Linked DNA regions of Daphnia pulex. The protein of the gene in region 1 purifies or fractionates together with the protein of each later gene. This does not show direct contact. Links are inferred from orthologs where the notes say so. Each region holds a gene or a part of one and is shown on either strand. Other genes may lie near its edges.

Region 1 (4,361 bases):
TGGAATCGTAATGTGAGAGTAGTTTGCTGTACATTGTAGGCACACCCATGAACAGAGTAGGCTTTTCCTCTTGACTCACGTTAGTATTTAAGAAATTTTCCCAAATTGCTTTCGAGTCGAATTTGGGCAACATAATACAACTGAAATTAAGCCGCTGAATTTAGTGTCGATAACAGTAAGTAATTTCATTTAAATTCGAATACCTGGCTCCTACATATAGGGGACACAGCAAAGCGTTTATAACACCATGAGTGTGATGAAGTGGAAGCGCATGAACGATGACGTCTTTTTTGGACCATTGCCATACTTCAATCAACATTCGTACCTGAGCATCGATGTTTTTATGACTCAGTAGAACTCCCTTGGGTTTGCCGGTGGTTCCACTAGTATACAGCATCATAGCATCAGAATTCTGATAAAATTCCATTGGCTTTGTGTCACAGAGAATGGATTTTAGTTGGGTGGGTGTAACATTTTGGTTGATGGTTTGTTGCCATGATTCTTCTAGAATTACAGATTTGGTATCCTGACCAACTGTTTCGTGGACAGCATTAAGCAATTGGGAATGACTTTGAGAAGCAATTATTAAGGCAGCATCACAGTCTTTGACATAGTAACCCAACAAAGATGGAGGATGAACCGGACTGAGTGGTACAGCTGCAATAGAAATAATCATTATTAGAGAACTTTATGTTTTGATATATGTTTTGATACCAATGTGCCCTGCCGCCCAACAGGCCCACTGAGATATAACATAGGTAGAGTCATTCGGACAGAGGAAGCCAATTCTTTCTTGATTTTTTTCTGGACCTATAGAACTTTTAATCATATTTGACAATTTAATGGCTTTAAGCAACACATCCAAATAGGTATGAGATCCATGGCTGTCTTTAATAGCAACTCGATTGAGATGTTGAAGAGCAATTCGATGTGCAGGAATGATACCACGATTTTCCATCGTGGATTGAATTCTGCCTGGAGGATCTGTATTACTGATAGAGTATGGTCTACTTCGAAGGGTTGAATTAAGTACACCGGATCTCAATGACTTTAGAAAAACAGAGAGCATCGTCATGTTATTCATCAGTCAAGTAATAAATCGTGAGATATCTTATCATCTATAAAGGTGTAATTCTGCACGTCGAGATAAAATTCGAATCTGATAAGAATATTAATAATCCTATGAAGTAACCTTGGAACTTGGAAGTCTGGATAGAGACAACTGATGTGTTTGTTTACAAAAAAAAAATACTTTATGTCGTCTGCTGTAGCTCCCGGCCTCTTTTCGCAAGTCAAAAAGACCAACAGGCTTGCACAATCGTTTGCAATCTTTTCTATAATCGTTTTAAATGTTATGTATATAAAGGGGAAAAAATCAAAACAATTACAATTGGGGTCCAACCACCCAATATTTTGTAATTAAATTATTTTCTAATTAGATGCTCCTCTATAATACTCGTGAAACGGCAACGTTGTCTAGACTGTCAACAAAAACTTGTTGTTGGAAATTTGTGTCCGGGAGTTACACTGAAAAGTGAAAACTGCGCGAAGAAACTGATTCTTCGGGATATTATAATTTGAAATACATTACGTGTGAAACGTTATTTTTTTGAATTATGAGTCGAAATCCCTCTTCCTCGGCAGTTCCAAATGCAGCTGGTCAGCCGGCTGGTGTAACACCATCAACCAGCACTCCATCTGCATCTGGTCTTGAAGTCCTTGGAATACCCGGAGGAACATTTCTCAGAGAAGCTTTGACTTCGTGTAGTGATCCTCTTCAAGCCATCGAAGAATTTCAAGTTGAAAATGGAATACTTCTACCTTCTTTAAGACCAATGATGCCACTTTTGGATTTACATGGAGTAAAGCGGCTTGATTTCCACATATCTGTCATGGAGGTTGTTTACATGAAAAGATTTAAAACACACTTAGTTTTCAATTATTTTTATGCTTTTAGGCACTTCGTGATAAGCTTTTGGCCCAAATTGCTGATTTAGGTAATGCATCTTTAATTATTTTAAAATCAGTTTTATTTTACATTAACTATCTTCAGGCCAAAAAGAAGGAAAAGAGAAAGACAAGAAATTGAAAGAATTGTTGAACAAAAGCTTTCTTGTAGTTAAAACTAAAGCTCTAAGGCCAGTTGTTATGGCAGTTATGAAACACCTTTCTCATGTTGATGAAAAATACCTCAAAGTTTTGGTAATGTAATACATTTATTATTTGAATTCAGAATTTAATGAAATGATTGATCTCAGGTGAAAGACAAAGAACTTTATGATGATTGTGATACTGTGGTTAAGAGGCAAATGTGGAAAGGTATCCTCTTAGATAACATTTCAAATACAAGTATTATAACTTTTCATTCAAATTTTAGACAACCAATCCCTTTTTGGTGATGAGGTTTCACCTTTACTCAGTCAATATATCAAGGAAAAAGAACAACTTCTCTTTGATCAAAATAATCTGACAAATTTGTTTTTCCTACCATCTCCTAAGGTAAAATGAAATGGTATTAAATGGTCTTTGTGGCGCTGCGACAAAATATATACCTTTTTTATTGGTCAAGGAGAAAAATAAAAATCTTTCTTTCGATTCCCAGGTTCGCCGCCAAGGAGAAGTGGTCCAGAAGCTAGCGCATATGATCGGAAATAACGTTCGGCTGTACGATATGGTTTTGCAGTTCTTACGAACATTATTTTTACGTACTCGTAACGTTCATTATTGTACATTGCGTGCTGAACTGCTTATGGCTCTACATGAGACGGAAGTGCAAGAAATTACAAACGTTGATCCATGTCACAAGTTCACCTGGTGCGTGGATGCTTGCATAAGGGAACGTAATGTCGACACCAAACGTTCTCGAGAGATTCAAGCGTTTCTCGACGGTATAAAAAGTGGCCAGGAACAAGTTCTTGGAGATCTGTCTATGATGCTGTGCGATCCCTATGCCGTCCATTTCTTAGCTACGTCATCGTTGAAGATTTTGCACAACCTTGTTGCATCAGAAAGTTTGCCTCGAGAACACCATATTTTACTTTTATTGTTACGGATGCTTGCGCTTGGTTTAAGCGCATGGCAGATGATCGATTCTCAGGTAGGACGAAGATTCAAAACAACCATTATTCCTTTATTAATTTCAGTAATCTTGTGCAGGAATTTCGGGAACCACGGCTTGATTCTCAAGTTGTCACGAAATTTCTTCCGGCTCTCATGTCGCTAATGGTGGATGATCAAGTCCGATCTCTAAACTCGAAATTACCCAGTGATGAACGTGAATCAGCTTTGACCATTATCGAACATTCAGGTACATGTAACCATTACTGTGAAGTTTCAAGGCACGTTTACTTAATGCTTCTAATAATAGGACCTCCACCCGATGCATTCCAAGCATACATATCTGAAAGTAGTGTACCTTGTGTTCTAGCAATGTATTACACTCTCCAGGTATTATTTATACTATATGTGAATAATGGCATTTATTACTGTCATTCCTCGGATTTAGGTGGCAAGAAGTAGAGACAAAGTGGCTTTAACTCGTGTTTTGGGCACGCTTGCTGTTGGTCACGGCGAACGATCATTCGAAGATCCTTTCCTTCACACTTTGGTAATATCCTATTTTACCTATTAGATCATTAAAGTAAATAACTTTATAATTGGAAAATAGGTTGCCCATCTGATTCCAATGCAGGATGAATTTGTCAATGAAATGTTTTGCACAGTTGTTTTTGATGAATTTTTTTTCACATCAATTGGCAAGGAGAATGTTGTCAGACATTTAACAAAACTTGTGTGGTATGTTCATCATAAGCTACCTGCTGCTAGACTTGATACCTTAATGAAAGCACTTCAACCAAATCCTCAATCCCCTGAAATCATGCATCAGGTAAAAATATTATTATATTGGCATAGAAAAAAAAGAAAATGTCCATAAATGTGCTTTGCCTTTAGGTCTATAAGCAACTGGAGCAAAGAATTGAATCATACCAGCTGAACCCATCATCTATGACTCAAGGAGTCCACAATGATGACTCTGTGTTGATGATGAATGTACCTACTCCAATGTCAATGTAGAATAAAACAGTGTATTGGTCAGGCTTACAAACAAGATTTAATGATGATTTATTGATAATAGAGCTCCAAATTCATCCCATCATGAATCTCATCTACAAGAAGAGAATAAAACTTAGTCAATATGGAGTAGCCATAAAAAAACATCAAATTCAAAAACTACTTACAGTCCTCCAGTTTGATGTGATCCTTGTAAATAGTGTACCATTTTTTTAGAACAATCTTCTCCCATCTGGTACCTGTTTGCGCAGCAATCAATTTTTTCAAATCTCCAATTGTGTCGTCAGGGT
Region 2 (4,429 bases), on another chromosome or scaffold:
ACGCAAAATTATTTTAAAACAAAAACTGGAAGTCGCGTAAACCAATAGCGACCGGGACTGTTAACGATTTCAATACACATACTTCTTTTTTTTCTTAACAAAGAGTATCGCTTTTTTTATTCGCTTTGAATGATATGAACATGTTATGCATGGATCTGTGTGTATGAGAACTACAAGAAAACTGTACTTTGAAAGAAAGAAAAAAAATGAACAATTTTCAAATGCTGAGATACTGAACAGTATGCCGCCTCTAAGGCTTCAGCTTGGTTTGTGAGATGCGGGCGACACGGAGAGGATAAGGACTGAAAGTCAAGTCGAATCGATAGGAATGAAGAAAAACAGGGAAAGGAATAGTAATGTGCAAAACAGAACTGGAAAGAAGGGACAAGTTGAATCGACTTTGGCACCGAAATATATCAAAACAAAATAAATCCCGTGCCCCACAGTCGGAACAACGCGGTGGGTAGGGGATAGAGGGAAGGGCTTACTTTCTCATCCGCACTCATTTCTCCTCGCCTCTGTCTTGTAACATCCATCCTGCTGCTATTTACACAGAATTTTCAAGTCCCTCTCTCTCTCTCTCTACTGCAACCAGATTCGTTTCCTATTCAGCCCGTCGCTGTGGCCATGACGGTGGCGACCGACGCCGGAGTTTCTTCCGTTTTCCTCATTTTCTTGATGCGTTTCCATTCGCCGGCTGCATAGTTCATCTGGAAATGCGTCTCGACGACCCTGGTGGTGGTGACACCGTCGGTAGCCGTCACAACCTCCTCATCCTCGCTCAACTTGATGGTGACGATGTTTCCCAGATGTGGACAAGGATTTTCTAGAAATATCAGTAAGTAAAGAATGAACATTTCTTTTGTTTTCAAACAGCATCATTCCAATGAAAGTTACCCCGAGAGCCTGCCATGAATCCGAGGATAAGGGCTTTCTCCGGTCGTGTGACTTTGTTGGCGTTCTTGAACATTTCTTGAGCTTCTTGCATTTGCTCGCGCTATAGAAAACAAATGTTGAATTACCAAAGAATCATTCACCATGACTGCAACGACAATTAAAACTTACAGTGAGCATGAGTGCCACACTCTTTTTGGGTGGAGCGGCCGGTTGATTGGGAGTTGCTGCCGCCACTGCGACAGGCTGCCCAGCAGCAGCAGCTGGTTGAACCAACCGATAAACGGTGGGCACCGTAGTAGCAACAGCAGGTGTCGCAGCCGCCGTTTGAGCTGTGACAAGGCGTACCACTTGGGCAGGTGGGGCAGGAGAAGCTGGAGGTAGAGAACTGATTGAAGGAGTAGTAGGCGGACGGACGGCTACCATTCTAGGCGGCTCTTTCAACGGCGTAAGAGGTGGGATAGAAGTGGAGGCAAGTGGAGTGACAGGGGCGGCCGGGGTTGGAGGCGGGTTGCTCGGAAGAAGGCCAGCTGCATAGTCGGGCGTTGGAGTAGGTTTTTCGGGAGTTTCGGGGACACTGCCCGTCTCTGATTCTTCGCCCGAAAGCGGTTGTGCCGGATTTGTAGAGGTAGCCGTCGTTTCGGTGGCTGCTTTTTGGGCAGCTTCCAGTTCTTTACGGGGGGAAAAGAGGCAACAGCGTTAACAAGCAATTCGATAAATATAGCTGGATACGTATTACCTTGTTGTCGTTTTCTTTTCTTCGCCTGAGCAAATCCGATCGGCTGCTCATTGATGTCCAGCAATTTGATACCGCCATCTTTTCTGCCAGCTAACGTGCGAGGAGACGGACGGTTGGGACCAGCGGACGGAGAAGATCCTAGAGCACCGACACTTGTGGGCGTCGTCCCAACGCGCGAAAGTGGCGAAGCGAATCCTCCAATGTGCCGGCTAGGAATGCCTTTCAATGGTGTCGTGTCCGTCATCTTCCTTGGAATTCCTCGTGAGCGCAGTGGTACCGTAGGAGCAGGATTCTTTTTCAAGTTATTTTGGGCGTCGGTGGATTTCTGCAAAAGCTCGGCACGCAGCGCCGCTGACTTGGGTTTCCTCTTTAATGTGAAATGTTTGATGGGGTGGGACTGAAAGAGCAGAGTCAATCGCATATAATGTAACAGGTTCCATTTTGGCGCGAAACGAGATGAGCGTTACCTGCTGGCCGACAACAGTGAACAGTGCTGTTTTATTCAAATAGGGGCATTCTAAAGGAAGCATTCCAGTTTCTCCATGCTTTTTCACTGTAAGTTATGTTCAAAACCATTACGAAAAAGCCACGATGAAATGAATTTAGATTTTTGCCAAGTTACCAAGTTTTCTCAAATCATTTGCAAGATCGTTGAAGATTTTTCTTGTGTATTCATCGGTGGCAGAGCCAATTTCCATGTTGAGGGCTCCGGTGGCTGGGTATGTTTTGAGGATTTCAGCAACCATGGCTACCCACGGATCACCATCAACAACAGCCACTTCCAAAATTTCTTCCAACTCTGTCTTCCACTATACAAGTAATAAAAAACGATTACTTTTCAGAATCTACGAAGTGAAATGACAAACAAGATGGAGAAAAAGACGAAATCAAACTATATGAAGGCCACTGACCTCTTCTAAGTTCCTCCTTGAGAACTGGAAGAATGATAGTAGAAATTTGAGTTTGACTTGTGTTTGCAGCTCGACAAAGCATTCTTGAATGTTCTTCAAAACTTCGGGATTGAGTTGGGAACAAATTGAGCCGCCTGCCCAGGAATCAGTGCTGATACCAAGTTTATTATGAAGCCAAAGTGACGTATCTGAGTCTCTCACGTTGGACGCCATTTTCCGCCCTGTTTTTCTTTTTTCTTCCTTTGCTTTTCTCAAACACAAGGTTTCTTACAGCGAACGGAACAGTGCCCACAAACCAATTTCCCACTACTTGTTTACAACTTTTTCACTGTGAGCCAGAAAATGTCGATGCAGACAGCGTCACTGTGGCGTAGTTTCGGATGAGACCGAAACTTACTTTACCACTAACGGCCGCTAGGGGCGCTGCATGCCTGCCTCTATCTTTTTCGTTGCGCAAATTTGGGCTAGTTGCCACTGATACGATTGCTTGTTAGGCCAAACTTAAAAAAAAAAAAACGTATTTTGAACGACCGATGGAAACGGTCGCGGGAAAATCAAAGATGAAAATATCACAACGATGCCATATATTGTTATTAGTCACGTTTCTCGATGGGATGCTGTGCTGTGACTTGTGAATGGCGGTCGTAGAAAAGAAAAAAGAAAATACAAAATGGTTTTCCCCAAGCGGAATTATCTGTCGTTGAGTACAAGCGTTTGTTTGCGTTGCGATGAATGGACTTTTTCTTTTTTTTTATTTTACCAAAACCGCGTTGTTGGGAAACGTTGCTGCTGTTCAACTCGGCTGACTAGACTACAATGATTCGTTATCGAACAACCAAATAACGGACGTGAATCACTCGTCAGGAGGTCGCTTAATCGACCTAAGTAAATGATGTGCCATTTCTAAAGCTGTAAATATAGTTTCTTGTCGAAACTATTGTGTGTCGAGTGATCGAATGGTCCTAAAAGTACTCAACGCTCTACCATGTCGACCGTAATTGTATAACGAATTAGTCGGAAAACAAATTAAAAATTCCATTGTTATAATCTGATCTTTCGTTGCGCGCGATCGAGTTTCTCTTTAGAACTAACCTGCATTTTAGAATAGAAATATTTTGTTTTCTTTTAAATTTCAAACTTGACGCTGATTCCGTTTAAGACTCAGTGCAAGTATCAAACAACATGTAACGCAAACGCAACACGGATGAAGTGTATACAGTTAATCAATACAATGTCTCACTTCCAAACTCGCCAACTGATTTCAGGCGCCTTGATTCAATTAAGTACTATGTAGTACCTATCATTAAGTTCGTAACCCATAAAATCTCCCGGTGTCTCACTACTAGTTGGGTCTCGGTGCTCCGAAAGCCCGAAGTTGTGTCGGTCAATTCGCACGATTAACCCCTAATAAGGATCGTTGGTCCAATTAGGGCCCAGCAGTATTATTAGCGCAATGAAGTGCGAGCGTGTAATGCACCCAAATCCAAACCACCTTCCGTGACTTATTTCAATACTCAACTCCAATATGTGCTCTCATCTTAAATGTATGTTACACACCCATCTCCCCTTCAACGTCACATCAGTTTTCTATAAATAAAAAGCTTATTAAAAAACAAAAAAAACGTTGAAAAACAAAGTCATCTATTTCCGACGTTCTTCCTTATATCGTCTGGTTGGGTTAGGACAGTTCCGGCTACGATAGAATCTCTTAATAGGAAATTCAGTCGCTCTGATGTCCGTGTGGTTAATTAAGTGCTGAACAAAAGGAGCCCAGCATCAGATTAAATTTAAAAAAAGACCCAAAATGGAACGACTCTGCTGGCTCAGCAGTCGAGAATCTATTATGTAATAACCGTTTTGGGGGAGACAACATTTTGACATTTGA

What was found. Proteins that work in one complex are often made in the same cells at the same time.
Region 2: the proteins of negative elongation factor B-like (region 1) and negative elongation factor A-like purify together in Homo sapiens (affinity purification with mass spectrometry; 8 studies listed by BioGRID and IntAct, counting the BioPlex papers as one, with this or other methods). This does not show direct contact. The link is inferred for Daphnia pulex from reciprocal best matches to the Homo sapiens genes NELFB and NELFA.

Annotation. Positions count from the first base shown.
Region 1 is NC_060017.1:4,644,520-4,648,880, forward strand, and holds negative elongation factor B-like, read left to right. Parts: upstream 1-1,463; 5' UTR 1,464-1,616; coding exon 1,617-1,898; intron 1,899-1,957; coding exon 1,958-1,997; intron 1,998-2,053; coding exon 2,054-2,202; intron 2,203-2,258; coding exon 2,259-2,319; intron 2,320-2,377; coding exon 2,378-2,499; intron 2,500-2,602; coding exon 2,603-3,097; intron 3,098-3,156; coding exon 3,157-3,307; intron 3,308-3,367; coding exon 3,368-3,447; intron 3,448-3,505; coding exon 3,506-3,607; intron 3,608-3,667; coding exon 3,668-3,886; intron 3,887-3,951; coding exon 3,952-4,074; 3' UTR 4,075-4,105; downstream 4,106-4,361. Other genes in the region: malonate--CoA ligase ACSF3, mitochondrial-like, read right to left, coding at 1-140, 204-657, 715-1,084. UniProt on the Homo sapiens protein: Essential component of the NELF complex, a complex that negatively regulates the elongation of transcription by RNA polymerase II.
Region 2 is NC_060020.1:1,900,465-1,904,893, forward strand, and holds negative elongation factor A-like, read right to left. Parts: upstream 2,915-4,429; 5' UTR 2,758-2,914; coding exon 2,545-2,757; intron 2,443-2,544; coding exon 2,256-2,442; intron 2,187-2,255; coding exon 2,101-2,186; intron 2,031-2,100; coding exon 1,634-2,030; intron 1,566-1,633; coding exon 1,066-1,565; intron 998-1,065; coding exon 898-997; intron 827-897; coding exon 609-826; 3' UTR 144-608; downstream 1-143. UniProt on the Homo sapiens protein: Essential component of the NELF complex, a complex that negatively regulates the elongation of transcription by RNA polymerase II.